Linked DNA regions of Oryctolagus cuniculus. The protein of the gene in region 3 interacts with the protein of the main gene of each other region in a pairwise test. Links are inferred from orthologs where the notes say so. Each region holds a gene or a part of one and is shown on either strand. Other genes may lie near its edges. The genes, in order: CREB5, FBXW5, ADAMTSL4, SHFL, MAPKBP1, TOP3B and AQP1.

Region 1 (3,500 bases), on a different chromosome or scaffold from region 3:
CATCATGTCTTTTCATGCCTCCAGCTAAGTGGGCATCAGTCAGGTGGTAGCTTCCTTCTCAACTAAAGCCATCTGGAACTTCTTTGATGGGGGTGTGTACATTCTGATTGCATTGCACTCTGAAGGCACCAATCCTATCATACAACTCTTCCCACTGCATACGTCACAGCCTCCTCCTGGTTGGCAGGGTCAGCCAGCATTGCCAGACTTAGGAAAGCCATGTGCTAGGCATTGTTCTAAGTGTTCTGTATTCAGTTGCCTCATTCAACCCTCCCAACAAAGACTTACATCCCCCCATCATTATCAGTGAGGTTGCTGGAGTTCAGGTGGATTATGTTACCTGCGGAGTGTCACCCACTAAGTCTAGAGTGGGATTCTAACCTTCATTGTCTGGTTCCAGAGCCCAGCACTTAATGGATGTGCTGTGATTTTTGTAGGGTTCAGCTCTTGAGATCCAAGCTCGTCAGAAAGCCCTTGGTAAATGTGAGGGCCAAATTAAAGGCAAGCTGCAGATTTTCATAAGAACCTTACTAAATCATGGTCTTTAAGCCATTTGGATGTAGCAGAACAAAAAAATTTGCCGATTTGTTGAAGATGCATGGGGCTCTGGGTTTCTATTCTCTAATCTTCTCAATGTGGCTTTAATATGTCTCTTTACAGAATGAGGTGTCCATGTTGAAAAACGAGGTGGCCCAACTGAAACAGCTGTTGTTAACACACAAAGATTGTCCTATAACAGCCATGCAAAAAGAATCCCAAGGCTATCTAAGTAAGTCACCAACTTTTTTCTTTGAGTGTCCAGTGTTTTACCACTAATTCTGCCTTGAATTTTATAGAAAGAGCAAAAGTAAAGTGTAGATGGCACTCCCAGACAGATATCACACTAGAATTCTTGAGTGGCTTCCAGATTATTCCACGGGGGGTGGGGGGAATCCCTCTTTCTCATCCTTATCCAGCACCATGGCCACTACCGCCTGCTAATTTCTGGCCACACTTCCCCTGTCTTTAACATTATAAAATTCTACCCAATGTCAATGCTGTTGCCAGTGAGCAGAGAGTCTGCTGGAGACCATCTTCCAGTGACTTAGAATCTTGAGAATTCTGTGGGCTGGGAACCAGGCGGTGGGGACATTGCCTCCAGTACCCCAGGATACACCATATGCTCGTCCCTGGGCTACAAAGCTAGTGATCTGGCCTCTGTTTATCAGTGGATCCCTTTCCTTAGACCCCAATTTCTGCATCTGGAGGGTCATTCGATAAAATGCTAGTTCAGTAGGGGGTGGCGGGGAGGAGTAGGGATTTTTGACTGAAGGTCAATTTATTTTCAAATGATTTTTTAGATTGAGCAACACAGATTCTCCCACCACATGTGAGTATTTTTCCACATTTGATGTATGGTTATTGGAAAAGACAAGATGGGCTAGCTCACATACCAGGTCACAAACACATCAACCCATTTCGCTGATATAGAAAGCATGGCTTTGCTCGTAGCTCTACATTGGGAAGAGGCATAGCTTGGTGACACCAGGGTAAAGTCTTCAAATTAACTTGCAGAAGCCAATGTGGGAAACGCTTCTATTTCAAGTAAATACCTAATACCATTTTTCTGAAGAGTTTGCAAATCCACACAAGAGCGAGCTATATTGCGGTGTGTATGTGTGTGTTTTCTCCTAGGTCCAGAGAGTAGCCCTCCTCCAAGCCCTGTCCCAGCCTGCTCCCAACAGCAAGTCATCCAGCATAACACCATCACCACGTCCTCGTCGGTCAGTGAGGTCGTGGGAAGCTCCACCCTCAGTCAGCTCACCTCTCACAGAACAGACCTGAATCCCATCCTTTAAACTAATGGGCCACGCCTTGCTTCTAAGAAGACCTGTACCATACCACGCGTCCTTTCTCTTAAGGGCATTTTTAGAATTAACTCCAACCTGGAAGACTCCTCAGCCCTTCAAAGACTGGCTTTCATTTTTATAGTTACTATGGAAATGTTGTCTTTTATATTTAGTTATATAAGAAAAAAAGGGAGTTATGCAATTAATATCTATCAGCTTGGGAAATGCTTTGGTGCTTTTCTCCAATTTTCTGGTACCAGTTATTTGTTTATAAACTGAACCTTTTCTGTATATAGTCATGGTTTCATTCTTATCAGCCGAAGCCTTTGCCTGAAACAAGGAATCTTGTGAAACCACAGCTTTTAGCCAAAATGAGGCATAGCTAGGTGTCAAGTAGGACAGATCTAAGGTACCTGGGTAGGAATCTGGTGACATCCTAACTCATGTTGAGTTTGTGCTCTCTCACCAGAATCCCAGATACACACACAGCCTTCCCCTCTTTGACTAGAAACAATGTTAAGATCCATCAGTGTCCAAACGAAATCAGGAAGCATCTCAGCCCCGCTCTCCCTCCTCTTGGTCCACTTGCTCAAATACCCAGTTTTCCTCTCCATTTCCAGTTGGCCTCAGGCTTCCTGTTTGCTATTCATTTTGACTTTCCTCCTGTTTTATTGTTTTTCCCTTTAGCATTGCATGCAATGAAAATAATGTTTAAAGAAAGAAAAAGAAGCAAACCTCAAAAATGTGGACCTAGCTTTTCTTCACTTGCCTGTAACCCACAGCTGGAGTTCATTCAACTCTTGCTTTTCAAAAAATAGTAACTGGGAGATGTTTAATGTGCCTGATTTAATGTTTTTAATAATCAGAGCAAATAAAAGGTGGTTGAGTTACAGTGAAGCACTGTTAAATGCCAGCTGTGGAGACACTTGGGAGGGAATTCTATAAGCCTTGACTGTGAAAGTCCAAATTGAGATGCAAGGCTATAACATCACACCCTGGAATTACAACTGGTTTTATGTGGCCTGTCTATATTGTTGAAAATCCACGCGCTATATAATAATTCAGAAGGGCTCTATTCACTACACAGATTACACTATTCAATCATCAGCTGCTAATAGCCTAAGATTTATTATTATTATTTTTCTTAAGCCTGTGGAACTGGCTTTGCCATTCAGGTGGGTGTAAGCAAGCTGCAGAAACACAAAGAAAATCCTGCGTTTTCACTGGGTGCTATTAGCCTTCCGCGACAGTACAAGGGCCCTGTGGCTGCTGAAGGGAAGCCCCGAGTCTGGCACAGGCTGCTCCACTCCTCAACAATTCTGAGTTCTATTTCCAGTAACTTCCACAGACATAATCCATTAGCAAAAACAGATAGACCCCCAAACCACGGCCATGCCTCCTTCACACAAGCCATTGTGCTGTGCTCATGTTGTAATGTCACATCTCAAATGACAGGGGCCAAGGTTCCTCCCTAAAGTCTAGGCAGGTGCTGGTTTTCATCTCCATTGAATGCTTGATGTGTGTGTGTGTGTGCGTGTGTGTGTGTTTTACAAGAACAGTATTTTACAAAAGTATAGCTTTTATAAGGGTTCAGAAAAGGGAAGGATGTGCTTGTTTCCCTTACTACAGTGTAAGAATCTATTTTGGAGGGAAATAACAAGAAGATATGAA
Region 2 (3,639 bases), on a different chromosome or scaffold from region 3:
GCCCCCGCCCCCGCCCACCGGCTCGCCCGCCCCCCGCCCCCGCCCCCCGGCTCGCCCGCCCCCGCCCCCGCCCACCGGCTCGCCCGCCCCCGCCCCCGCCCCCCGGCTCGCCCGCCCCCGCCCCCGCCCCCCGGCTCGCCCGCCCCCGCCCCCGCCCACCGGCTCGCCCGCCCCCGCCCCCGCCCACCGGCTCGCCCCGCCCCCGCCCCCCGGCTCGCCCGCCCAGGACGTGGAGTCGGAGAACGTGAACGTGGTGAAGCGGCTCTTCAAGATCCAGAACCTCAGCGCCAGCACCATCCGCACCGTCATGGTGGCCGACTGCTCCCGCTTCGACAGCCCCGACCTGCTGCTGGACGCCGGCGGCCCGGCCGCGCCCTGCCGCGTCTTCGACCTGGGCGGCGACTCCGACCCCGACAGCGACTCGGACGGGCCGGCCCCGGCGCCCGCCCCGCCCCGGCCCAGGGGCTCGCGGCGCTTCCCGGACGGCGCGCTGGACACGCAGGCGCAGCTGTCCGAGCGCGTGCTGGAGACGCGGGTGGCCGAGCTGCTGGCCCAGGGCCACACCAAGCCCCCCGAGCTGGCCCCCGCCGACGCCAGGAACAAGTACCTCATCTTCACCACGGGCTGCCTCACCTACTCGCCGCACCAGATCGGTAGGGCAGGGCGCGCGGGGCAGGGCACCCGGGCGGGTGGGCTGGGGCCTGCAGCCCCTCACGCCGGCCCCCCGCAGGCATCAAGCAGATCCTGCCGCACCAGATGACCACGGCGGGCCCCGTGCTGGGCGAGGGCCGCGGCTCCGACGCCTTTTTCGACGCGCTGGACCACGTCATCGACGTGCACGGACACATCGTGGGCATGGGCCTGTCGCCCGACAACAGGTGCGCCCGCCCGGCGGTGGGGGGCGGGGGCGGGGGAGAGGTGGGGGCGTGTCCCGCGCTGAGCGCCCGCCCCGCCGCAGGTACCTGTACGTCAACAGCCGCGCCTGGCCCCGCGGCTCGGTGGTGGCCGACCCCATGCAGCCGCCCCCCATCGCCGAGGAGATCGACCTGCTGGTGTTCGACCTCAAGACCATGCGCGAGGTGAAGCGGGCGCTGCGCGCGCACCGCGCCTACACGCCCAACGACGAGTGCTTCTTCATCTTCCTGGACGTCAGCCGGGACTTCGTGGCCAGGTGCGGGGCGGGGCGGCACCCGGGGGCCGGCCTCTGGGGCGGGGCGTGGGGCGGGGCCGGGGCGAGGCGAGGCGGGGTCAGGGACAGGGTGGAACCTGGGGGCCGGCCTCTGTGGGGCGGGGCCGGGGCGAGGCGAGGCGGGGTCAGGGACAGGGTGGAACCTGGGGGCCGGCCTCTGTGGGGCGGGGCCGGGGGAGGCGAGGCAGGGTCGGGGACAGGGTGGAACCTGGGGGCCGGCCTCCGTGGGGCGTGGCGTGGGGCGGGGCGGGGCGGGGTCAGGGACAGGGTGGAACCTGGGGGCCGGCCTCCGTGGGGCGTGGCGTGGGGCGGGGCGGGGCGGGGTCAGGGACAGGGTGGAACCTGGGGGCCGGCCTCCGTGGGGCGGGGCCGGGGCGAGGCGAGGCGGGGTCAGGGACAGGGTGGAACCTGGGGGCCGGCCTCTGGGGCGGGGCGTGGGGCGGGGCCGGGGCGAGGCGAGGCGGGGTCAGGGACAGGGTGGAACCTGGGGGCCGGCCTCCGTGGGGCGGGGCCGGGGCGAGGCGAGGCGGGGTCAGGGACAGGGTGGAACCTGGGGGCCGGCCTCTGTGGGGCGGGGCCGGGGCGTGGCGGGGCGGGGTCAGGGACAGAGTGGAACCTGGGGGCCGGCCTGTGGGCCGGGGCGGGGCCAGGGCGAGGCGGGGTCAGGGACAGGGTGGAACCTGGGGGCCGGCCTCTGTGGGGCGGGGCCGGGGGAGGCGAGGCGGGGTCAGGGACAGGGTGGAACCGGGGGCCGGCCTCTGTGGGGCGGGGCCGGGGCGAGGCGAGGCGGGGTCAGGGGCAGAGTGGAACCTGGGGGCCGGCCTCTGTGGGGCGGGGCCGGGGGAGGCGAGGCGGGGTCAGGGACAGGGTGGAACCGGGGGCCGGCCTCTGTGGGGCGGGGCCGGGGCGAGGCGAGGCGGGGTCAGGGGCAGAGTGGAACCTGGGGGCCGGCCTCTGTGGGGCGGGGCCGGGGGAGGCGAGGCGGGGTCAGGGACAGGGTGGAACCTGGGGGCCGGCCTCCGTGGGGCGTGGCGTGGGGCGGGGCGGGGCGGGGTCAGGGACAGGGTGGAACCTGGGGGCCGGCCTCCGTGGGGCGGGGCCGGGGGAGGCGAGGCGGGGTCGGGGACAGGGTGGAACCTGGGGGCCATCCTCCGTGGCGCGGGGCTCCGGGCGGGGCCGGGGCGAGGCGGGGCTGGGTGCGGTGGGACAGGGTGGAACCTGGGGGGGCCGTGCTCCGTGGGGCGGGGCGCCGGGCGGCAGAACAGGGGCGGGCAGCAGCCTCATCCCGGTGCGGGCCCACAGCGGGGCCGAGGACCGGCACGGCTACATCTGGGACCGGCACTACAACATCTGCCTGGCCAAGCTGCGGCACGAGGACGTGGTCAACTCGGTGGTCTTCAGCCCGCGGGAGCAGGAGCTGCTGCTGACCGCCAGCGACGACGCCACCATCAAGGCCTGGCGCTCGCCGCGCACCGTGCGCCTCCTGCAGGCCCCGCGCCTGCGCCCCCGCCCCTTCTTCTCCTGGTTCGGCTGCCACAGGCGCTGAGGGCCGACCTGGCTCGAGCCGCGGGGACACTGCCGGGGCCCCGTGGGTGCTCCCCGCGTGGGGTGGCTTTGCTTGTAGCAGGGATCCTCAGGAGGGGCCGGCCCGGCCCCCGCACGCACTCGCACAGCCTCACGTGGCCCGCGCTGCATGCGGCGGCCCCACACTGGCCGCGGGGCCAGCACGGCGTGCACAGGACACTGGAGGCCTCACTCCTCACCCACTCCCTCCCCCGGGCTGCGGGTGCACACGGCCCCAAGCCCGGCCACTCAGGACAGTCCCCACGCCTCGGCCCAGCGGACAGGCTCCCGCCCTGGTGACTTGGTTTGTACCGGCGGTGCTGGGGGCCCAGGGGCCTGTCTGCTGGCCACTGGCCCAGGGCTCAGAATAAACAGTTGCCAACAGCCCACCGACGTCCACCTCTGTGCAGGGAGGGGCAGCCCGGGCCCTGTCCCCAGCCTCCTGCCTCCTTGGCACCCAGGAGGCCTGTGCCCGACGGCATCCGGGCAGCTCTGGTGGGACAGCTGCATTCTGGGAGATTCCTGCCGAGGGTGGGGGAGGGGCTGCCCAGCTGGAACCTGCCTGGCCTCCCTCCCTCACCGAGGGCCCCCCCTTGTGGTAGTGAGGGGGAGGGTGGGGAGGGCGCCGGGCCTCGGGGGTAAGCAGTGGACACTGTGTGCCCTGCCTGCACAGGGGACCCAGCTGTTCCCCATGGCACGGGCGCTGGTGCGGGCACCTCCATCCTGGGCCGGGCCTTGCTGGGGACAGGTCTGAGAGGGGCGGCTGGGGCTAAAACGAGGGGCTCGTGCGCTGTGCAGATGAGCCCGGGACACAGCCCAGGGGCCTCCATGGCCTGGGCGCCAGCCCCCTGCAGGTGGCCCGGGAGAGTGGCGGAGGGTGCGCCGAG
Region 3 (4,153 bases):
AAGCAGCAGCGAGGGCTCAAGTAGTGGGGTCCCTGAGGACCCATTTTGGAGGTCTGGACTGTGTGCCCAGTCTTCAATTCAGCCTCGGCTCTGGCAGAGGCTGGCATCTGGAGAGTGAGCCAGTGGGTGGGAATACACTCTCTCAAACACATACAACTTGGAAAACATATTTATTTATTTATTTATTTGAAAGTCAGTTACAGAGAGTGGAAGAGAGACAGAGATCTTCCATCCAGATGGCCACACAGGCCAAGGCTGAACCAGGCTGGGTCTCCCATGTGGGCAGCGGGGGTCCAAACACTCAGGCCATCTTCCACAAATGGGATGCCAGTGTCTCAGGAGGTGGCGGCTTCGCCAGCTACACCGCAACACAGGTCCCAATAAATAAATTTAAAACATTGAATAGACTCACCAAAATGCAATTCATGAGTAGCAAATAAAAACGTTTTAAAAAATTAAATACTAGTGACCATGTATCATCATCTACTCTGTCAGTCATTTTACATAATTTCCTTTTTAACATAATACACGGATAACGCTTCAAGCTTAAAAATCTAAACAGCACACGCAGTGTTAAGACGCGAAACCCTTTCTCTTCCCTGCTCCAAAGACGCATTCCTCCCCAGCGTCCCCAAGGCTGCCGAGGTCGGGGTGCGTTCTTCTAGATGCAACTGGACGGACAGCCGACTCCAGGTCCGTCACCGACCCCGACGTCCGGTTGGCCTCTGCAGCACAGAGAGCGAACCGGACAGCGCCGGAGCTGCCATTCGGCGGCAGGCCGGCCCGACGCATACACCGGCGCGCGCTCCTTCCGCTACGCCCTGCATGTAAAACTTTATGGTGGAGGAAACCCAGGCTCCCAGAACCACCTGGTTCGCCGCCAGGGCCCAGAGAGGCGGCCGCGACTGACCTTGGTCTGTGTGCAGGAGCGCGCCCTGGCCGACGGGGGCCGGGAGACGCACAGGACCATTTGCATGCACCCTGCGTGCGGCCTCCCTCCGGGCCCGCGCCTCGCCCAGGTCACTCAGGACCAGGCGCCACCTGGATCCCGGCCGCCCCTCGAGGTCACCCCGCTCGGACGGGCGCAGCGCTGGCACAGCGGGTGCTGGGGTCCTGAGCCCCGGGAGCGACTTCTGCCTCAAGACGCAGCCCCGGGTGGGTGGCACTGGCGCGCGGAGGCTGTGGGGTCGACCGTCCCCACCCCGGGACCGCGGGCAGGGGCGCTCGGCGGCCGGGGGGGCGGGGCGCCGGCGGGGCGGGGCGCGGGGCGGAGCCGCGGCCGGAGGCGGCAGCGTCCGGAGCCGGGCTCAGGGGCTGGAGTGGCCGCCGCAGAGCAAGGCTGCCCCGAGGGAGCGCCGGGGCGCAGAAGGGCCACCGTGCCGCCGGGGGCGCGCCGAGCAGGTAGAGACCCTCCCCAAGCCCCGGCCCCGGCCGCCCCCTGCCCACTGGGTCCCGTTAGACCACCCGGCCCGCGCACCAGCCCGCACCGCCCTGGCCCCAGCTCCGCGCGGTCGCGCCCCCGCCGGGACCCCGGCCCCGGCGCTGATGGTCTCGGAAGATCTTCTAACCCCTGGGGTCGAATTCCTGGGGAGGGGGTCTGATCCCGTGTAACTCTGGCTCCATCACCCGCGCGGGGAATGAGCCAAGATTCCTACTAAGTCACATAGTGAAGTTGGAAAACATACCCAAGACCTCCCTGCAGGCGCGCTCGCCTCCTGCCCTTGCTGCTCTCGGAGGACGTGTCCTTCCTGACACCCCCTCACTCCCGCAGTTGGGAATAAGGTCGCTGGGAGGGATGCAGATGGGCGCCTTGATGCCGCTCAGCCTGATGGCGAAAGAGGTTGACGGAAAAGAGAGACACCTGTTGCGATGGTTCCCCCAGGACCCAGGGTTGAGGGCCGGGTGGGAGCAAGAGATTCTGACCCAGGACAGGGGCTGTCCACCGCCAGCCCCTCCCCTCTCAGTGACTCCTGCCTCGTGAGGGGGCCGGCCCTGCAGGTCTGTTCTTTGATCTTCACTGGCCAGCGTGAGGAGGTGTGACCAGGAGGTGCCCAGGTTTTTCCAGATCAGGATCCAGCCTGGCACTGGAGTGACCCCTTCTGCTTTCTTTCCTTACCCAGGGCAGCGAGACACCAGAAGAGGGGCGTGCAAAGGGTGAAAAAGCACAAATGTGTGTCTGTTTCGCAGAGGAGGGGGTATCGGCCCCCTGCCCAGCTGTGCAGGGGAGGGCAGGGTGGGACTTTTCCAGAGAGGGAGCCAGGCCTGGCCCGCGCCCCGGGAGCTCACGTCACCCCCACCCCTCACTTCTCCAGGGAACTGCCGAAGCCAAGCCCCGCTCGGGACAGGATTATATGTACTGGGGAGACCGGCAGAGAGAAGCAGAGGCAGAGCGGGCGTGGAGGGGGCCCCTGCGTGACCCCCACCCACCTCTCCTCCCCTCAGCCTCATCCACAGGCCTGGGGCTGAAGGTCTGCGTAGAACATGGGCCCCCGCCTCCCGGCGCCCAGCAGGGCGGGGTGGCTGACCTCAGTGGTCAGTTCAGCCAGGGCCATCAGCAGCCCCTCCCCAGCCCCGAGCAGCAGGGGGACCCTGCCCACTCCGGGTTTCAGGGAGGGGAACAGGGCCGCGGGCTGCCACCCCCGGCACATTCCTGCTCTCCCCATGGTGCTTCTGCTGCCCCTGAGCCGGCCCACCTCGCAATGGCTCCTTGGAACCCTCTCCCGGGTGCCTTTCAGATCCAACAGAAACAGGGTTGGGTTTTTTTTTTTTTTTCCTGGAAAGCAGAACTAAGAGCAGGATTAGGAGTGGGGGCAGGAAGGGCTCAAAGTCAGAAGGTGTTGGGGGGGCCTGCAGGGGCAGGGAGAGTCAGGCTGAGAGCAGGCTAGACTGCAGGATGGACTTCCCGGCTCTGCGGGAGCAGGGGCAGTTCTGCACCTGTCCTTGCTTAGGTCCCTGCAGCCTTCCCGGCTGTGCACAAAGCAAGCCTCAAGCCGGAGGGGTGCTGGTGCCTAGAGGGGAGGTTGAGTCACCTGCTTCTTCTTTATAGAGATTAAACCACCAACCCACTCAGTTTATCCCTTGGCCAAAAAGTGTCTGAGGCAGGCCGAGCTGTGCCTGACTGTTCCTAAGGAGCTTAGCTAAGAAGGGAAGACAAGGCTGGGAGGCAGGAAGGATGCAGAGATGGCTTGGGAAGGGGCTCGTTCTCGGAAAGCTCATGGGACTTGTCAGGGTGAGGTGCGGCGTCCGGCCCGTGCTCACCTGAGCCTCCCTCAGCTTTCCAGGAGGGAGGAGTGGGGCCAGAGGGACCCATCTGAGGATGTTGGCTTAGGAACTGCCCCTAGAGGGGACTTAGGGAGGGGCTGAGAAGTTCCTGCAAGGGCCAAGGGGGAGGGGCCTGAGCCTAGCTTGAGTCGGGAGGCTGAGGTCAGACCCCCACCCTCCAGCCCTAGCCCGCGGCCAGGGCAGCAGCCCCTAAACATCCCGAAGGAAGGTGGGGGCGCCCTCCCTCCCGGCCTCCCTGTTTCCTGGGGGCTGGGAGGTAAACGCCAGGCTTGTGTTCCCGCAGAGCGTACCCCTCCACGCCCTGATGCCTGAGTAGTGTGCACCTCCAGGCCCCTCCTCCCTTGCCAGGGGTGAGAGATGAAGTGGGCAGGCTGGTAAGAGGGGGGCCACCTGGATGGGATGGGGGGACCCCGGGGGGAGGGAGGGGTGGCCTCGGCCCTAGGGCGCGGGAAAAGGACCCCTGGGAGGGCTGGGGGAAGTGGTGACTTCTGCTTTCCAAGACCTCGGTGGTCAGGATATGGGAGCCTGTGGGTGTTGGGGGGCGGGGAGGGGCAGTGTCGCAACGCCTGCCCTGACTCGGTTCTGACGGTTCTGACGGCCCCTCCTGCCTTTGGTTGTGGTTTGCAGGCCCCGGCTGTGTCTGATGCTGCTTCTGTCCCTTCCTCAGCTCTGCCTGGATCAGGTGAGCCCTGGATAAGAGCGGCCCTGCTTGCCTGCCTGGCAGCCTCCTGTCCCTGGTCGCATGCCCGACCTCGCCAGGCCATCTCCATGTCCCCCAGCCTCAGAGCCACGTCCTTCTCACTCCTACTCGGCCCACCTAGCATCCCCCACCCCCCACCGACCCCCTGGCTCCCTGTCAAACACCATCAAG
Region 4 (4,290 bases), on a different chromosome or scaffold from region 3:
AAGTCTTGTAAGTCAGCTAGAGATGGCTTCAACTCTACGGGAGGGTCACCATACCCCCGAGAGGAATGCCAAAAAAAAAAAAATTATTATTACAGAGGTCTTCCATCTGCTGATTCACTTCCCAGATACCTGCAGCAGCCAGGGCTGGGCCAGGCAGAAGCCAAGAGCTGGGAACTCCATCCGAGTCTCCCTCGTGGGTGACAGGGGCGTGCCTGTTGTAGGATTGATGAATCCTATGGTAGGCATATTTTTAACTTAATAATTGATTTTATTTATTTGAAAGACAGAGATCTCCCATGCGCTGGTTCCCTCCCCAAATGCCTACAACATCCAACACTGGACCAGACCAAAACCAGGAGCCAGGAGCTCCCTCCAGGTCTCCCCCAGAGGTGTTAGGAGCCCCGTGCACCTGCCATCTCCTGGTGCCTCCCAGGGTGCGCATCAGCAGGGCACTGGAGTCGGGAGCTGGGATTCAAACCCTGGCACTCGAAGATGGGATGCCAGCGTCCCAGGCGGCAGCAAAACCTCTGTGCCCAACACCGCCCTGTGTTCCAGCAGTGTCCGGAGGCCACTTCTGAGGAGGGCCACGACTCCGGTGGCATCTAGGGCATGGGGGCCGGGGACAGATCCCCATCGCAAAGAGCTACTGGCCCAAAGTGTCCGCAGCTCTGTGCAGGCGGCTGAGAAAACGCAGTTGCTTCTTTCACCTGACTCCATCCTCACCAGCTATGACCTCAAACTTCTGGGGCTCTGTCCAAGCAGGAGATGATGTCCCCAGGCCGAGGGTCCCAGCTAAAGGCTCCCCAGGCCCCTCTGCTGGGGCCCCATGGGCCCCTCAACCGCCCGATTGAGAATGCAGATTCCAAAGCAAGCATTTGGCTTGAGAGGGTTAACGGGACACATGAGAGGCCTGCATGGCATGAGCTGAACTCCTGGGCTCTGATCCAGGTCCCAGTTCCCACTATAGCACAGCCCTGGGAGGCAGCAGGTGGTGGCTCAAGCACTTGGGTCCCTGCCACCCACGTGGGAGACCCGGATTGAGATGCCTGCTCCTGGCTTCGGCCTGACCCAGGCATTTAGGGAGTCCACCAGCAAATGGGAATGCACTCTCTCTCTTTATCTCTGCCAGCCAAATAAATAAAACTTTTAAAAAATAAAATGCACATTTCTAAAGCGCCCCCCAAAAGCTGGGGCCCATCACCCTGTGTTTTTCACAAGCACCTATGGATCATTCCCATTTTACAGAGCGATAAACTGAGGATCAGAAACGTCACAGTGGCCTGTCAGGAACTCAACAGCAGGGGAGGAGGGACCCCCCCCCACAAACCCCCCCAGGTCCTAACAAGCGCCCGGTCCGTGGGAGCGCACGCGGGGAGTGGGGGGCGCGGGGACCCGCCGCTGCCTTCGGAGGCGGCCCCGCCCCCACGGGGGACGTGAAGACGCGGCCCCCGCGCAGCGTGGGGACATGTGACCGACTGCAGAGGCCGCGCCGCCTCCCCCGCCCGAGGTGCGCGCGCCCCGCCGCAGGGCGCAGACCCCGCGCGCCCGCCTGGGTTTGGGGCGCAAGTGCAGAGGCGGAGCCGGGGCGGAGCCAGCGCACCCGTTCCCCACTTCGGAACCGAAAGCGAAACACCGGGCCCGGGCAGAAGGGCGGAGCCGGCCGCGAGACCCCGCCCCCTGCCCTGCGCGGCGGCCGGACCGACGGGCGCGCCCAGCGAGGAGGGCGGCTGAGCCACGCAGTGCGGACCCTCGCGGGGACCTGCGCGCCACCACCATGTCTCAGGAAGGTGTGGAGGTAGGCGATGGCCACGGCCGCGAGCCGAGGGGCCCGCGGCAGGCGCCGAGGGGGGCCCGGGGGCGCCGAGGGGGCTCCGCAGTTCCTGGGGGACCCCCATCCGCATCCCATCCCATGCTCAGGGCGAGCGCCCGGGCCCCCTCGGAGAGGAGCGCGCCGCTCACGTCCCCCGCCTCCGGAGCGAAGCGCGGCCTCCCCCCGAGGAGAAGCGGGGGCTGCGGGGTCAGGGGTCAGACCCAGGCCTTACCTGTGCGCCCCGCCCGCAGGCTGGGACCCGCGCCCGCCATCCGCTCCCACCCCCAGACCCTGTAGGGACTTGGGGGTTGTGCAGGAAATGTCGTGGAGAGATGGTGGGAAGGGGGGAGGGGGCGGAGGCCAAAACCAAGGCTAAAGTTCAGGCCCCAGGAATGTTACCTGGAGTTGGGGGAGGGGCGGCGGCTCGTCCCTCCCCCCCCCACCGGAGCCCACCTGTCCCCCCCCCCCCCCCCCGTCCCAGTTGGAGAAGAGCGTCCGGCGCCTCCGGGAGAAGTTTCATGGGAAGGTGTCGCCCAAGAAGGCCGGGGCTCTGATGAGGAAATTCGGCAGCGACCACACCGGCGTGGGTCGCTCCATCGTGTACGGTGAGCGCGCGGGGGTCCCCGGCCGGCGCCGAGGGGGCGTGGCGCGGGAGGGCCCAGCCGCGGGAGGGTCTAGCCGCGGGAGGGTCTGGGCGGCGCAGGCCGCTCAGGGGCCCTGTCTTATCCCGCCAGGGGTAAAGCAGAAGGACGGACAGGAGCTCAGTAATGACCTGGACGCGCAGGTAACCTGTCCCCTGGCCTCCAAGGTCGGGGTACCGGGCGGGAGAGCCGGGGGGACCCTCTGGAGCGAGCAGGGCTGGCCACACACAGCACCTTCCTCAATCATCGGCTGGGCCAGGGAGCCTGCAAACAGTAGGTGCTCATTAAGTGCTGATTGTGTTCCATGGAGCGGAGCGGACGCCGCCATTGGTGCCAGGGAGCCCAGGAAGTCAGGGAAGACTCCCTGGAGGAGGTGATGCAAAGCCTTGACAGGGAGGAGTGAGCCCTGGAATGGAAAAGCAGGGGAGGGGGTGACAGGTAGCATAGGCTGGGAGAGAAGAGGGGGAACTGACCCCAGAAGAGGCGGGAAGGGGGAAGCGGCTAGGGCGTCCTTGTGTTGAACGAATGAATGAGTGATGACTGGCTTTGTGTGGGAATGGCTGGATCTCACCTACCTGGAGATAAAGTGCGCATCCTAATCTTTATAGGCATAAAGCATGTGATAGAAATAATCACAGAGGGTAATCATTGACCCGGCACTTCCCCGAGGGGCCAGGTTCCAGGAACTGACTTGTTTGATCACCACACGAGCCAGGACCCATTATTGATCAGCCCATTTTACAGACCAGTACTGAGGCACGGTGGTGAAGTCATGCTTTCTCCAGGGGCCCCGGGGGGACGAGTGGTTTGCCCACGTTCTCACAGCCGGAAGTGCCAAAGCCAGGACTTGAACCTGTGTCTGTTCAAATCCAGAGCCCCAAGCACTAGCCGAAAGCGACGGGGCCTCAAATAGGTGGCGAGCTGGTGTTTAGCGCGAGGCGGAATGCCTGGTTGGAGTCCGGCTCCGCCTCTTCCGGTCCAGCTTCCTGCCATGGGCACGCTGGGAGGCGACAGGGATGGTTGAAGAGCTTGGGCCCCTACCGCCCACATGGGAGACCCCGATGGAGCTCCAGGCTCCCTGCTTCGGCCTGGCCCAGCCCTGGCTTTTGCGGGCGTTAGGATGATCTCGGGCAAGCCCTCCCCTGCCTCTGGGCCTCAGTTTCCCCATATGAGCAATGGCGAGAACAGGTGCGCCCACCTGTCGGGGCTAACGGAATGGCTAAGGGAAGCCATGTACCTGCTCCTTGCTGGCTGTGCACCTGCTCTGAGCTCTGGGAGGCCCCTCCCCCAGCAAAGGCGGGTAAAGGGGAGACCCGAGTGCCTGCCCCAGTTTCTGCCCCTGGCGTCTCCACGCAGGACCCCCCAGAGGACATGAAGCAGGACCGAGACATCCAGGTGAGTTGGCAGCTGGGCAGGGGGACCCGTGTGGGGGTGGCGGCAGACGTGTGCAAGGCAGAGGACGGTGACCCCTGTCCCCACCCTGCCCGTCCCGCAGGCCGTGGCCACCTCCCTCCTGCCGCTGACGGAGGCCAACCTGCGCATGTTCCAGCGGGCCCAGGATGACCTAATCCCTGCCGTGGACAGGCAGTTCGCCTGTTCCTCCTGCGACCACGTCTGGTGGCGCCGTGTGCCCCAGCGGAAGGAGGTGACCGCCTAAAACTTGACCTTGGTTTCTGTCCTGAACGCCACTCCTGACCCCTGACCTCTGACCTCCGAGCTTGACCCGCATCCCACCGGCTGACCTGCAGCTGCACTTCTGACCTCCGACCCCGCTGGTTGCGAATTGAACTTGACTCCAAAGCCACAACCCTAAATGTGGCGTCCAGGTTCCCCTGGGAG
Region 5 (3,500 bases), on a different chromosome or scaffold from region 3:
CCTAAGAAGGGCCCCTGATTCCCATCCCCCAACTGCACAGCACTGCGGCCCACCGGCCACCTGCTGCTGGAGGGAGGGCATCTCTAGATGACAATGCAGGGCTCAGAGCAGAGCAGCTGGGCTGATTTCCCCTCAGCCCTGCCTTGGCCGCTCTTTCCTCTTGGCCGCCGACTGTTGGTGGGGGGCTGGGGAGGAGATAGAAGCCTGAGTGGGCCGGTGGCCCCTGCTGAGCTCAGCTGCTCTGCCCACAGACCACAGTGGCCCACTGTATCTCCGTGAGCCAAGACTACATCTTCTGTGGCTGTGCCGATGGCACCGTGCGCCTCTTCAACCCCTCAAACCTGCACTTCCTCAGCACCCTACCCCGGCCACATGCCCTGGGGACAGACATTGCCAGCGTCACTGAGGCCAGGTGAGCTATGGGGGCCCCTGTCTCCATTCACAGCCTTGCCCAGTGCTCAGCCTCCTTGGCAGCGCTTTACCAGAAACACCTCTGTAGGCAAACACGTATACTTAGTGCAACCAAGGAGACTGCATATGGTGGAGGACCCGGGAATGTCAGGAAGTAGGTGTCCAGAGGGACTTAGTGGGTTTTGGGCTTGCAGGAGATGATGTTAGGAGTGCTTCAAAGGATTGAAGTTGTGTTCTGGTTGGATGCTGTCAGGAAGTAGACACACTTGCCCAGTTGGGTATCTTGATAGAGCCTGCCCAAGAAGTGGGAGGAAGGCTGTCATGCTGTAAAGAAACAGCCATCAGTCGTGTTAGATGAGGAAGGGCGATGTTCGGTCATTTTTGTGGTTTGTGTGGGGATCTGGTTTCATCTGTGTGCAGACATACTTGCAGAACAGTCTTGTTTTTGTTTTGCCCATGCTGACTGCAGAATTACCTTGTCTGCTGCTGCTGTTCTGTGGGTGTTTGCATTCATCACAAGAACACTTGGCCCCCATGGCCAGTGTTTGGCCAGCTCCCTGCTCCTGGAAGTTGAAATCCTTTTTCAGGCATCTACTTCCAAAGCTACAGCTCTAGTCAGGGCTCCCCACACCCTGCTCATCGCTTTGGGGGTTGGTTTCTCTCTTCATTCCCTTGGGTCTCACCAGTTTGCCCTGTCCTTTCCCCCACAGTCGCCTCTTCTCTGGAGTGGCCAATGCCAGGTATCCAGACACCATTGCCTTGACCTTTGATCCTACAAATCAGTGGCTGTCTTGTGTGTACAACGACCACAGCATTTATGTTTGGGATGTGAGGGACCCCAAGAAAGTGGGCAAGGTGTACTCAGCCCTGTATCACTCCTCCTGCGTGTGGAGTGTAGAGGTACGTGGGCTGGGCTGGCGGGCCGGGTGGAGATTGATCAGTTCTGCTGGGATAACTGTTGTGATGGCAAGAAGTGGGGATCCCAGGTGTCACTTTATGTTCCTGCTATCTCTCACTTTGGCAACATCTCTGTGATGGGTCCTGCGGATTGAGCATGAATTTTAGTGCTGCTGCATCTCCGGCATTTTCTAGTGTGCCCTATCTTTAGTTTCGCCTTCTCTGGGCTTGGTGATCTTGCACAAGTCATTGAACTTGACTGAGCCTCAGTTCCTTCAGCTGTAAAATGATGATCTGATTCACCTAACTGTTCTAAGAATAAAGTAAAATAAAGAAAGTGGGAGACATAGAAGAGTGCCTGGGGCATAGTGATGCCTGGTTAGCATGCTTTCCCTTAGTACTTATGATGAGTGTGTAGCAGTTATATCTACATTCTCTCTTTTCTTCAATTCCCTTCCTCTTCCTTACATGTATACCCCGTGCCCCTGCAGGTCTACCCTGAGGTGAAGGACAGTAACCAGGCCTGCCTGCCTCCCAGTTCCTTTATTACCTGTTCCTCAGACAACACCATCCGCTTGTGGAACACGGAGAGCTCTGGGGTGCATGGCTCCACGCTGCACCGAAACATCCTCAGCAATGTGAGCGCACAGGCCCTGGATCCCCACTCCGTACTTAGGACCTCCAGCCCCATAGCTTTTGTACCTCGATTTCGGGCCCTGGCTCCCCAGACCTGATCTCCCAGCCCTTACTCTGCTGGGCTCTGTGAGCCAAGGGTGTGTCTTGCCCAGCATTCGCCTCTCCCTTGCAGCTGTACCATGTGGAGTATGCCTTATCCACCTCTTCTGACCTGTTCCACTAGGACCTCATTAAGATCATCTATGTGGACGGGAACACGCAGGCCCTGCTGGACACTGAGCTGCCTGGAGGAGACAAAGCTGATGGCTCTCTCATGGATCCCCGTGTGGGCATCCGCTCGGTGTGCATCAGCCCTAATGGACAGCATCTGGCTTCAGGGGATCGAATGGGCACACTCAGGTAATGCCGGGCCTGAAGTGGGTGCTGCCTGCCTCCCGGGTGCAGGCTGGGCTAGTCAGGTCCTCAAGAGCAAAGCTCTATGGAAGCTTGTCTCAAAAAGGCTGGGGAACAATATGTTTGTAATCTACAAGGGGAAGATAGTGATTTTGCTGTGAAGAACCTTGACAGAGAGCATCCTGACCAAGTGATCAAGGTTAACATCCTCATATCAACAACGTGAAGCCCGTAACACAGTGTCCTAAGAAGTTTAGAACATGGTTTCTGTGGTAAACTTGCCAAAAATATATAAACCCAATCCAAACTGAGAAAGCATTGGGCAAACCCAAATTGAGGTGTGTACAACAGAGTAACTGGCCAATATTCTTCAAAACTGTTAAGGTTGTGAGAGGTAAGGAAAGGCTGAGGAACTGTTGCAGATTATAGGAGATTAAGAAGAAGTAGTAGCTAAACGTAGTCTGGACTCTGAATAGGATCCTGAATCAAGAAAGAGGACATAGTCAAAACAAAACAAAAACAAAAACTGGTGACATTTGAATCATCAGGTCTTTAATTAATAATTTGTGCTAACATAGATTTGCTGATTTGGATATGAAGTTATGAAAGATGTTAACATTATGGGAAGCTGGGTAATGGGAGTATAGAAATTATACCCTTTTTGCAACTTTTCTCTGGGCTGTAAAGTTCAAACACAGTTTAGAAAAAAAAAGGGGGGAGAGGAAGGCTGTGAGCCCCTCCGCCTGTGGGGTAATGGTGATCTCCCCTCATCATCTCCTCTTTGCAGGGTGCATGAGCTTCAGTCGCTGAGTGAGATGCTGAAGGTGGAAGCCCATGACTCAGAGATTCTGTGCCTGGAATACTCTAAGCCAGACACAGGTGAGGGTGCCAGAGCTCCTCCAGTCCTGCCAGGGCCACTTACTTCCATCTTGGCACTTGGGTGTCTTTGCATCCCTGCTCTATGGTTCATGGGACATGAGGCTCAGTTCCCTTGGTGCTCTTTGTTGGGCTCGGCTACGGATCCACTCAGGGCATTTGTGGGCTGATGGAGTTCTTCTAACCCCAGGTCTGAAGCTGCTAGCGTCGGCAAGCCGGGACCGGCTGATCCACGTGCTGGACGCTGGGCGGGAGTATAGCCTACAGCAGACGCTGGATGAGCACTC
Region 6 (3,500 bases), on a different chromosome or scaffold from region 3:
CTCACACATTGTCCCCTCCCTCCGCACAGCCCTCCTAGTCTCAGCTGTGGGACCCCACACACCCCCACCCCCAAGCCGCAGCTGGGCCCACCTGGCCCCTTCCCACTGGCCATGGCCTTTGCCTCTGCTGGGCTTTTTTCCTGCCCTATATTTCTCCAGTTTCTTCAAAGTCTCACGTACCTACGCCCAGCACACCCTCCTCCTAAGAGTAGGCTTCCAGTGGATTTGGGGACTGCAAGGTCCCTTGTGTGCCTGGCAGCAGGGGGAGGAGCGGTGGGGGGCAGCTTGCAGGGCGGCAGTGGGGAGGGGCATGTGAATGGCAATGTAGCCGTGGGTGAGGGGTCTGCGCAAGATGGAGGCTCCTGGAAAGGCAGGAAGACGGCAGGGGTCTTGTTGAAGGGGGCCACACGCGTGCTGAGGCTGGGCCCCAGAAGGAGCCGGGCCTGACGGCTGAGGGGTGGGACAGGAGATGGGGGGCAGAGGCGATCCCAGCCGGATGGCTTCCCACCAGGTCCTTGATGCCGTCGTCCCCGTCATGAATAAGGCCCACGGCGGCGAGAAGACTGTGTTCCGGGCCAGGTTCAGCTCCATCACAGACACAGACATCTGTAACGCCATGGCCCGCCTGGGCGAGCCGGACCACAACGAGGCGCTGTCGGTGGACGCCCGCCAGGAGCTGGACCTGCGCATCGGCTGTGCTTTCACCAGGTGCGCTGGGTGCCTGCCCTGCGCCTCGGCATTTTCACTGTGCCGGCCGCTGCTGGATAGGCGGCGTGGGCCCACTGGCACGCGGGTCCTGAGGGGGTGTGGCAGGGCTACCCATTAGCAGGGCTCCCTGGCCCACTGGGACCCAGCTTCGTGTTCCTGTTGGCTTTCCCAGCCGTGCACGCGTGGCTCCTCCCCAGGGCTCCTCCCTGCCTCTTGCTGCCACCTCCGGTTGCCCTGCGCTCACCACCCCAGCCCCGGGGGCACTCACGGTGGGGTCTCAGGCAAATCCTTAACCAAATGGCTTCTCTCTCGCACCCCACCCTCACCCAGGTTCCAGACCAAGTACTTCCAGGGGAAATACGGCGATTTGGACAGCTCTCTCATCTCCTTTGGGCCGTGCCAGACTCCTACGCTGGGCTTCTGTGTGGAGAGGCATGACAAAATCCAGTCCTTCAAGCCGGAGGCCTATTGGGTGCTGCAGGCCAAGGTGCCTCCTCTGCTCTGTGTGTGTGTGTGTGTGTGTGTGTGTGTGTGTGTGTGTCTGGGTTTGGGGGGGGTGGACTCTGAAAGCCTTGTGTCATCACCATCATCCTCCTCCTGCAGGCCTCAGGGGTAAGGGTGCCACTGTGGGCCTGTGGTGCCCCCGGCTAGGCTGAGCCTGGGGACGCTGAATTTGGATGAGTGGGGACAAGGCTGGCTCTGGCAATCGAGGGTAAAATCACATCTGATCACTGGACCAAGGCCCTGAGCTTTTAAACTTTTTGGAAATTCTAGAAAGCCAGGTGTAGCAGTTCAGACAGTCCTGGGAACGCTGCGTCCCATATCCATATCCGAGTGGCTGGTGCAGGTCCCAGCTCTCTCCCAGTTCCAACATCCTGCTGATGCCCACCCTGGAAGGCAGTGGTGATGGCTGAAGCACCTGTGTCCCCGCCACCCCCTTGAGAGACTGGCTTCAGCTCCCAGCTCCCGGCTGTGAAGGCACTTGAGGAGCGAAATCGGCGGGTGGGACATCTCATCTCTGTCTCTCTGCCTTTCAAATAAACAAAAATAATTTTTTTAGGAAGTCCTAGGGCGCTTTCCTCAAATAAAACCCTCCACAGACGCGTGCTGTAGGATTTATAACATGACACTGGAGCTGCTGTGACTGACAGGGACCCTGGGTGTGCGGCAGAGGCTCAGGTGCTACTAAGGATGTGATACCGTCAGCCTTGCCACCCCACCCACCCTGAGCGAGACCAGGGCTCAGGCCGGGATCAGCACACCTGAGCAGGTGCAGACGCCAGCGCCAGGGCTGCGTGGCTCCCAGACAAGGCCCAGCCCAGGCGCTGGGCTCGCCGCCCGCTTCTCCTCATGTGTTCACCTCCTGTCCTCCGTCCTGCAGGTGAACGTCGACAAAGACAGGTCGCTGCTTCTGGACTGGGACCGAGTGAGAGTGTTCGACCGGGAGATCGCACAGATGTTCTTAAACATGACAAAGCAGGAGAAGGAAGCCCAGGTATGGCCCCGCCCCACCCACACCTGTCCCCCTGGCTCATGCATCCACTCCTAAGATAGTTCTCCCAACGCGGCAGCTGTGGGGCACCCATGTCCACACCTGGGACCTGCCAGGCCCTTCCCACGTGACCCAGTGGGCAGATGTCACAGGTGTCCCTTCTCTGTGATCTCGGGGGCTAGTAGCTGCAGAGGGACCTCTGTGATGAGCTTGGCCAGGGCCACACGGCAAGTTGGGGACTTGTCTGGGATCCATCCGCCTGGCACCTCCATGGTGTTGTATTTCCTGCTCAGAGTGTGTGTGACTCAATCTCAGGAAGAGGGTGGGGTGACGGGCACAGGGCATGCTCTGCAGATGCTCCGTGGCCCTGAAAGCTGCCAGAGCCATCAAGGTGTGGCCGGGCCACCTTCAGCCACCCTGCCCTTCCTCGCATGCCAGCTGGCCCACCCATGCAGCCCTCTCAGGCTCCAGAACTTCTGAAGGCGTTCCCATGGGTCGCATTCCTGCAGAGGCCCCGGCTCCGCCTCCAGATCACCCCGCGTAACCCTGGGCTCCACTGCTGCATATCCACAGGCAGCCTCAGCATTAGCACCCACGTTTGTGGGCCTGGAATCCGGCGTGGCCGGGGATTGGCCGAGGCCCAGGCCCTGGGCAGAGTCGCTGGGACTGTTTCTGCCTTGTCTTCTGATGAGTGCCTTCCAGAGGTGGAAGGGGGAGCTCACCAGCCAGCACAGCCCACAGATGGATCCCAGTCGGTCTTGCGTGGCGTTGCTGCAAGTTTCAAGAGAGTTGTCCACACTGAACAATTGTGTGATGTCACGTGAAAGTCCTGGCTTCCTGCCAGCCATGCCTGCAGCCCCTTCTTCCTGCCTCTTGCTCACTCCTCCGGGTTTTCTCTTCCCTAGACAATTATCTGGAAAAGAGGGCTTGTTGTGTGTCCCTTGCCGGTCCCAAACGAGCACTGAACCCGGTCTCCAGACTGCAGGGAAGAGGGGGTTTGAGAAGCAGAGAGACAAAGGAAAGCAGGCCCCTTGCCCCGTGCTCGGATTGTCTCTCTTCAGGCTCCTCCCACCTCCGCATCACTGCCTACGTCTCATCCTGCAGGTGGAGGCCACAAGCAGGAAGGAGAAGGCCAAGCAGAGGCCACTGGCCCTGAACACCGTGGAGATGTTGCGTGTGGCCAGCTCTTCTCTGGGTATGTAGGGCGTTTCTCTAGAGGCCCCAAAGACTGCTTGGGATGCACTGAGATGATTCCGTTCAGCCCCAGGGGTGCAGGCGGGGCTGACCCCCACCCCTGGGC
Region 7 (3,500 bases), on a different chromosome or scaffold from region 3:
CCAGAAAGCTGGTCGGGAGGTCCCCTAGTCCCCTGAGGCTGACCTGCTCCATCCATAACCCCACCCACAGCCCCGGGCAAGGCTTTCCCTGACTGCCACCCCAACCAGGGAAAGTCCCCCCAGCTCACCGCCAACAGGTGTCCCAGGGCCACAGAAAAGCCGATGGCAAGGGGAGCTGAGCCGCCCAGGTCGCGGCGCCTGCGGTCGGTGGTGGCCAGCACACACAGCACCAGCTGCAGGGTGCCGATGATCTCGATGCCCAGGCCCTGGCCTGAGTTCACGCCAGGGGCCAGCTGTGGGGACGGGAGCAGAGAGGCCCAGTGAGCACGGCAGGCAGGGACTGGGTCCCAGGTCCCCCTGCCTCCCAGGATCAGGCACCAAGAACCAGACTCAGCGCCTCCAGAGAGAGACGAGCGCTGTGCCCTTTGCTGTGCCCAGAGAGGCCCCGTCCAGACACACACAGCAGGCGGCCACAATCGGCCTCATCCTCTCCCACACTACGGCTTGGTCCCGGGGCCAGCCTAGACCTCCCCAGCTCTGCCTGCAGATCTGAGTGGCCTGGGGCACAGCAGCCCTGCAGGCTGGGGTACCTGAAACCATCGGCAAGGGGCGAGCCCCAGGTGTGGGAGGAGAGAGTCGGGGGCACTGGTGGAAGAAGAGGAGGAGTGAACAGGACGGCCCAGCTTGGGGGGGGGGGCATGGCCTCCTACCCCCAAAGTCCAGAACATGCCACCCACCCCCTGCTGCATGCCCGAATCCCAAAGCTAGGGAAAGCCCGCTCCACTTAGCCCCGCGGCTCCCTCTGTCTCGGTCTCCTCTGTGCCAGGGCCCCCTGCTGCCTCCGCCCTCCGTCTCCGCTGCCCCTCCCGGTCTCCCGTGGCCCAGTGTCTTGCTCCTGTTTTCTTTTGGCGTTCCTGACTCTTCTTCTCTCTGCACGCTCCCTCCCCGCTGGCCTGGCCTGGTCCTCACTCTCTCTGGCCACGCAGGCCCCCGCCACCGCCGTCTGGCTGCCACTTGCTCCTGGGCCACTTTTAGAAACATGACTCATGGAAAAAGAAGGGAATGGGAGCTACCATGAAGTCACCGGAGCCCCGTCTCCCACAGCCGCACCAGGCAGACCCCTCCCCAGGAAGCCCTGCCCCCCGACGCCCCGTGCACCCATCTCCAGGGGTGCTGGACCACTTGGTAGAGGCCCAGCACAGAGATGCACCGATGTGGCCACCGAGCCGCCTTCCCCCCGGCAGGACAGCTGCGTCCCAACAAGCCGTAGTCCTGAGGCCATGGGGCGTCTTCACGGTCATGGGACATTTTGCAGATTCCTAGGTGGGGGGCACCCCCCACCCCTCCAGAGGTTTTCCCAGCCCCACCCTGAGGCCATCTTAATAAGAACAATTCTCTTCCCGCCTTTGTCTGCTGCACTCGGCTACAGGGAGTGAGTCACATCCCCTCCCCTGTCTGCGGCCCAGCTCCAGAGCTTTGGGCCCTCTGGCCAGCCAGCCCTCTGGCAATGCCCAGTTCTCTGCTGGCGCGCCAAGGTTGGGCGCTGTTAGCATGGCCTGGTCCTCTCTGGGCCTCAGTCTTCCCATCTGCAAAATGGATTTAATTGTCCCTGCCCATTGTCCAGAGCAGCCAGGAGGTTCAAAGGCAGCGGGAGCTGTCCGAGGAGTAAGGGAAGGGGTCCAAGGCAGGAGGAGCCAGGGCAGCGCTGCTGGCTGTTGTCCTGGCTCTTTCTCATGGCATCTGCAGGATTCAGGGGTGGGCAGAAGTGGGGGAGGGGCCCAGCCTGCGCAGAGGTGTGAAGATGGTGAATGGAGGCAGGGCTGGCCGGGCCCAAAGTTGAGGGTAGCCCAGCCTCCACACACCTATGAGGCCACGCCCCTCAGAGGCTCCTTCTCCAGCGCTCTGCTCCGCTCTCCAGGATCAGCTAATTGCTTGCTGGCCGGCGTCCTGTGACAGCTCCTCCTGGCTGATTAATGGAGCTGATGCCCTAAGCGGCGCTCCTGCCTCAGACTCTCCCCACCCAACCCACGGCCCGGGCCAGCTCAGCTCAGCTCCTCCGCTGGTTCTTAACCAGCTCTGAGAGCCCCAACCCTTTCCGAAGGCACCCCTGTTCCTGCAGGGGAGCAGAGCAGGGAGTCGTGGTTCAGGGCCCAGTGCTCTGGGCCCTCGGGGAGGAGAGAAGCCAGCCACCTGCCCTGGGGACCCCAAAGTGCGCCTCCTGCCAGCTGAGAGCCACGGGGGCTACAACCTTCCTCTCCCATTGCGTCACCATCTACTGCCTTCCTCCAACCTCCTAATACCTGACATCACTTAGATCTGGATGAAATTCATCAGGATTGGAGGAGGCCTGGAAGAGCTGTTGAAATTTGATGTCCATGAAAGAGCAGGCAAAAAATCAGAACTTAGCACTCCTGTGCACAAATCACTGGGTGTGAAACAAGTGCTGGTAGAGAGCCCATCCCGATTGCAGTCACTTGGTACTTGGGGAATAACACAATGTTGCTCGCTCCCATGTAGTTGGACCCAGCTGAGGTCTTAGGGGAAAAAGTAACCAACAGTTTTGTGAACGCACGTATAAGCTATAGAAAAATCCATAGATCTTGGAAGCATGAGGAAGATACAGCTCCCGCTTTGGACACTGAATCCATCTCAGGCCCCTGCTCAAGGCGGCTGCAGACCCTCCCAGCTCTTGCACCTTCCTGCATCCCCCACTAACTTTGACTTCTGCCCACCCTGCCCCACCCACAGGGACCTCCTGCCTCTCTGTGGGTGCCTCACCTGCTCGCTCCAGGCTAGGAACTCTCTGTCCAAACCTCCATGGAGAGAGGCCAGCTGAGTGGAGGCGGGCGTGGTGGAGGATGCTAACTGTCTAGAGCTCATTCCCTCCAGGGGCAGGCCAGCTCCGGGCAGGCTCCCTGCACGCTGGGCCCATTTGTTTACCTGCTAGCTGGAGGTGATGGCCAAGCGATAGGCTCTGGGGCCCACCCAGGAGGCCTATGCCAGGGTTGGAGGTGATGGCAGATGGGCTGGCCGAAGCTCAAGGAGTGGACAGCCAAGCCAGGACCTTGCCCTGGGGTCAGCGCTGCCCTACACTCACAGGCCAATATGTTGGCTGCCCTTAAGCCCAGCGAAGGGACCAGGCTGTGCCCCACTTGGACGGGGGAGCTGGCAGAGCTGGCTGCCTGCATGTCCCAGGCTCCAGGACTGACCTCTCTGGGAAGTGGGCTCTGGCCCTCCCTGCTATCCATGGGCAGGCCAAGCAGGGGAGTTTCCAAGGCCCAGGAAGGACCCCCATCTCGGCCTGGACACCCTCACACCCACCATTACGGAGCAGCTGACTCCAGAATCAGGCCTGGCCAAGTCTCTGAGCATCTGCTTTCGAAGAACAGGGCACAGGGGGCATGGGGGCCTGCTATACCTGCCCAGTGCCTGTGGGACTCGACACTGGGCAGTGGGGAAGCTTAGGGGCCGTGTGCACGTGGCATGGCGGCACCCACAGC

The links.
Region 1: the proteins of ADAMTSL4 (region 3) and CREB5 interact in binary tests that used the Homo sapiens proteins (3 or more experiments, as listed by UniProt). The two-hybrid records come from large-scale screens. The link is inferred for Oryctolagus cuniculus from reciprocal best matches to the Homo sapiens genes ADAMTSL4 and CREB5.
Region 2: the proteins of ADAMTSL4 (region 3) and FBXW5 interact in binary tests that used the Homo sapiens proteins (3 or more experiments, as listed by UniProt). The two-hybrid records come from large-scale screens. The link is inferred for Oryctolagus cuniculus from reciprocal best matches to the Homo sapiens genes ADAMTSL4 and FBXW5.
Region 4: the proteins of ADAMTSL4 (region 3) and SHFL interact in binary tests that used the Homo sapiens proteins (3 or more experiments, as listed by UniProt). The two-hybrid records come from large-scale screens. The link is inferred for Oryctolagus cuniculus from reciprocal best matches to the Homo sapiens genes ADAMTSL4 and SHFL.
Region 5: the proteins of ADAMTSL4 (region 3) and MAPKBP1 interact in binary tests that used the Homo sapiens proteins (3 or more experiments, as listed by UniProt). The two-hybrid records come from large-scale screens. The link is inferred for Oryctolagus cuniculus from reciprocal best matches to the Homo sapiens genes ADAMTSL4 and MAPKBP1.
Region 6: the proteins of ADAMTSL4 (region 3) and TOP3B interact in binary tests that used the Homo sapiens proteins (3 or more experiments, as listed by UniProt). The two-hybrid records come from large-scale screens. The link is inferred for Oryctolagus cuniculus from reciprocal best matches to the Homo sapiens genes ADAMTSL4 and TOP3B.
Region 7: the proteins of ADAMTSL4 (region 3) and AQP1 interact in a two-hybrid assay, tested with the Homo sapiens proteins (2 studies listed by BioGRID and IntAct). The link is inferred for Oryctolagus cuniculus from reciprocal best matches to the Homo sapiens genes ADAMTSL4 and AQP1.

What each region holds. Positions count from the first base shown.
Region 1 is NC_091447.1:20,394,552-20,398,051, forward strand, and holds part of CREB5 (cyclic AMP-responsive element-binding protein 5), read left to right. Parts: intron 1-660; coding exon 661-769; intron 770-1,674; coding exon 1,675-1,838; 3' UTR 1,839-3,500. UniProt on the Homo sapiens protein: Binds to the cAMP response element and activates transcription.
Region 2 is NC_091432.1:237,322,419-237,326,057, reverse strand, and holds the end of FBXW5 (F-box/WD repeat-containing protein 5), read left to right. Parts: intron 1-226; coding exon 227-653; intron 654-730; coding exon 731-878; intron 879-958; coding exon 959-1,171; intron 1,172-2,491; coding exon 2,492-2,735; 3' UTR 2,736-3,139; downstream 3,140-3,639. UniProt on the Homo sapiens protein: Substrate recognition component of both SCF (SKP1-CUL1-F-box protein) and DCX (DDB1-CUL4-X-box) E3 ubiquitin-protein ligase complexes.
Region 3 is NC_091438.1:47,452,929-47,457,081, reverse strand, and holds the start of ADAMTSL4 (ADAMTS-like protein 4), read left to right. Parts: upstream 1-1,353; 5' UTR 1,354-1,401; exon of another isoform or gene 1,402-3,565; 5' UTR 3,566-3,639; coding exon 3,640-3,656; exon of another isoform or gene 3,657-3,909; coding exon 3,910-3,964; exon of another isoform or gene 3,965-4,153. UniProt on the Homo sapiens protein: Positive regulation of apoptosis. May facilitate FBN1 microfibril biogenesis.
Region 4 is NC_091447.1:67,206,277-67,210,566, reverse strand, and holds the start of SHFL (shiftless antiviral inhibitor of ribosomal frameshifting protein), read left to right. Parts: upstream 1-1,490; 5' UTR 1,491-1,774; coding exon 1,775-1,795; intron 1,796-2,291; coding exon 2,292-2,415; intron 2,416-2,544; coding exon 2,545-2,594; intron 2,595-3,807; coding exon 3,808-3,846; intron 3,847-3,946; coding exon 3,947-4,096; intron 4,097-4,290.
Region 5 is NC_091443.1:64,889,677-64,893,176, forward strand, and holds part of MAPKBP1 (mitogen-activated protein kinase-binding protein 1), read left to right. Parts: intron 1-251; coding exon 252-412; intron 413-1,121; coding exon 1,122-1,311; intron 1,312-1,799; coding exon 1,800-1,946; intron 1,947-2,167; coding exon 2,168-2,343; intron 2,344-3,124; coding exon 3,125-3,216; intron 3,217-3,403; coding exon 3,404-3,500. UniProt on the Homo sapiens protein: Negative regulator of NOD2 function. It down-regulates NOD2-induced processes such as activation of NF-kappa-B signaling, IL8 secretion and antibacterial response. Involved in JNK signaling pathway.
Region 6 is NC_091452.1:28,916,221-28,919,720, forward strand, and holds part of TOP3B (DNA topoisomerase 3-beta-1), read left to right. Parts: intron 1-511; coding exon 512-708; intron 709-1,038; coding exon 1,039-1,195; intron 1,196-2,089; coding exon 2,090-2,203; intron 2,204-3,304; coding exon 3,305-3,395; intron 3,396-3,500. UniProt on the Homo sapiens protein: Releases the supercoiling and torsional tension of DNA introduced during the DNA replication and transcription by transiently cleaving and rejoining one strand of the DNA duplex.
Region 7 is NC_091447.1:22,131,184-22,134,683, reverse strand, and holds part of AQP1 (aquaporin-1), read right to left. Parts: intron 294-3,500; coding exon 129-293; intron 1-128. UniProt on the Homo sapiens protein: Forms a water channel that facilitates the transport of water across cell membranes, playing a crucial role in water homeostasis in various tissues.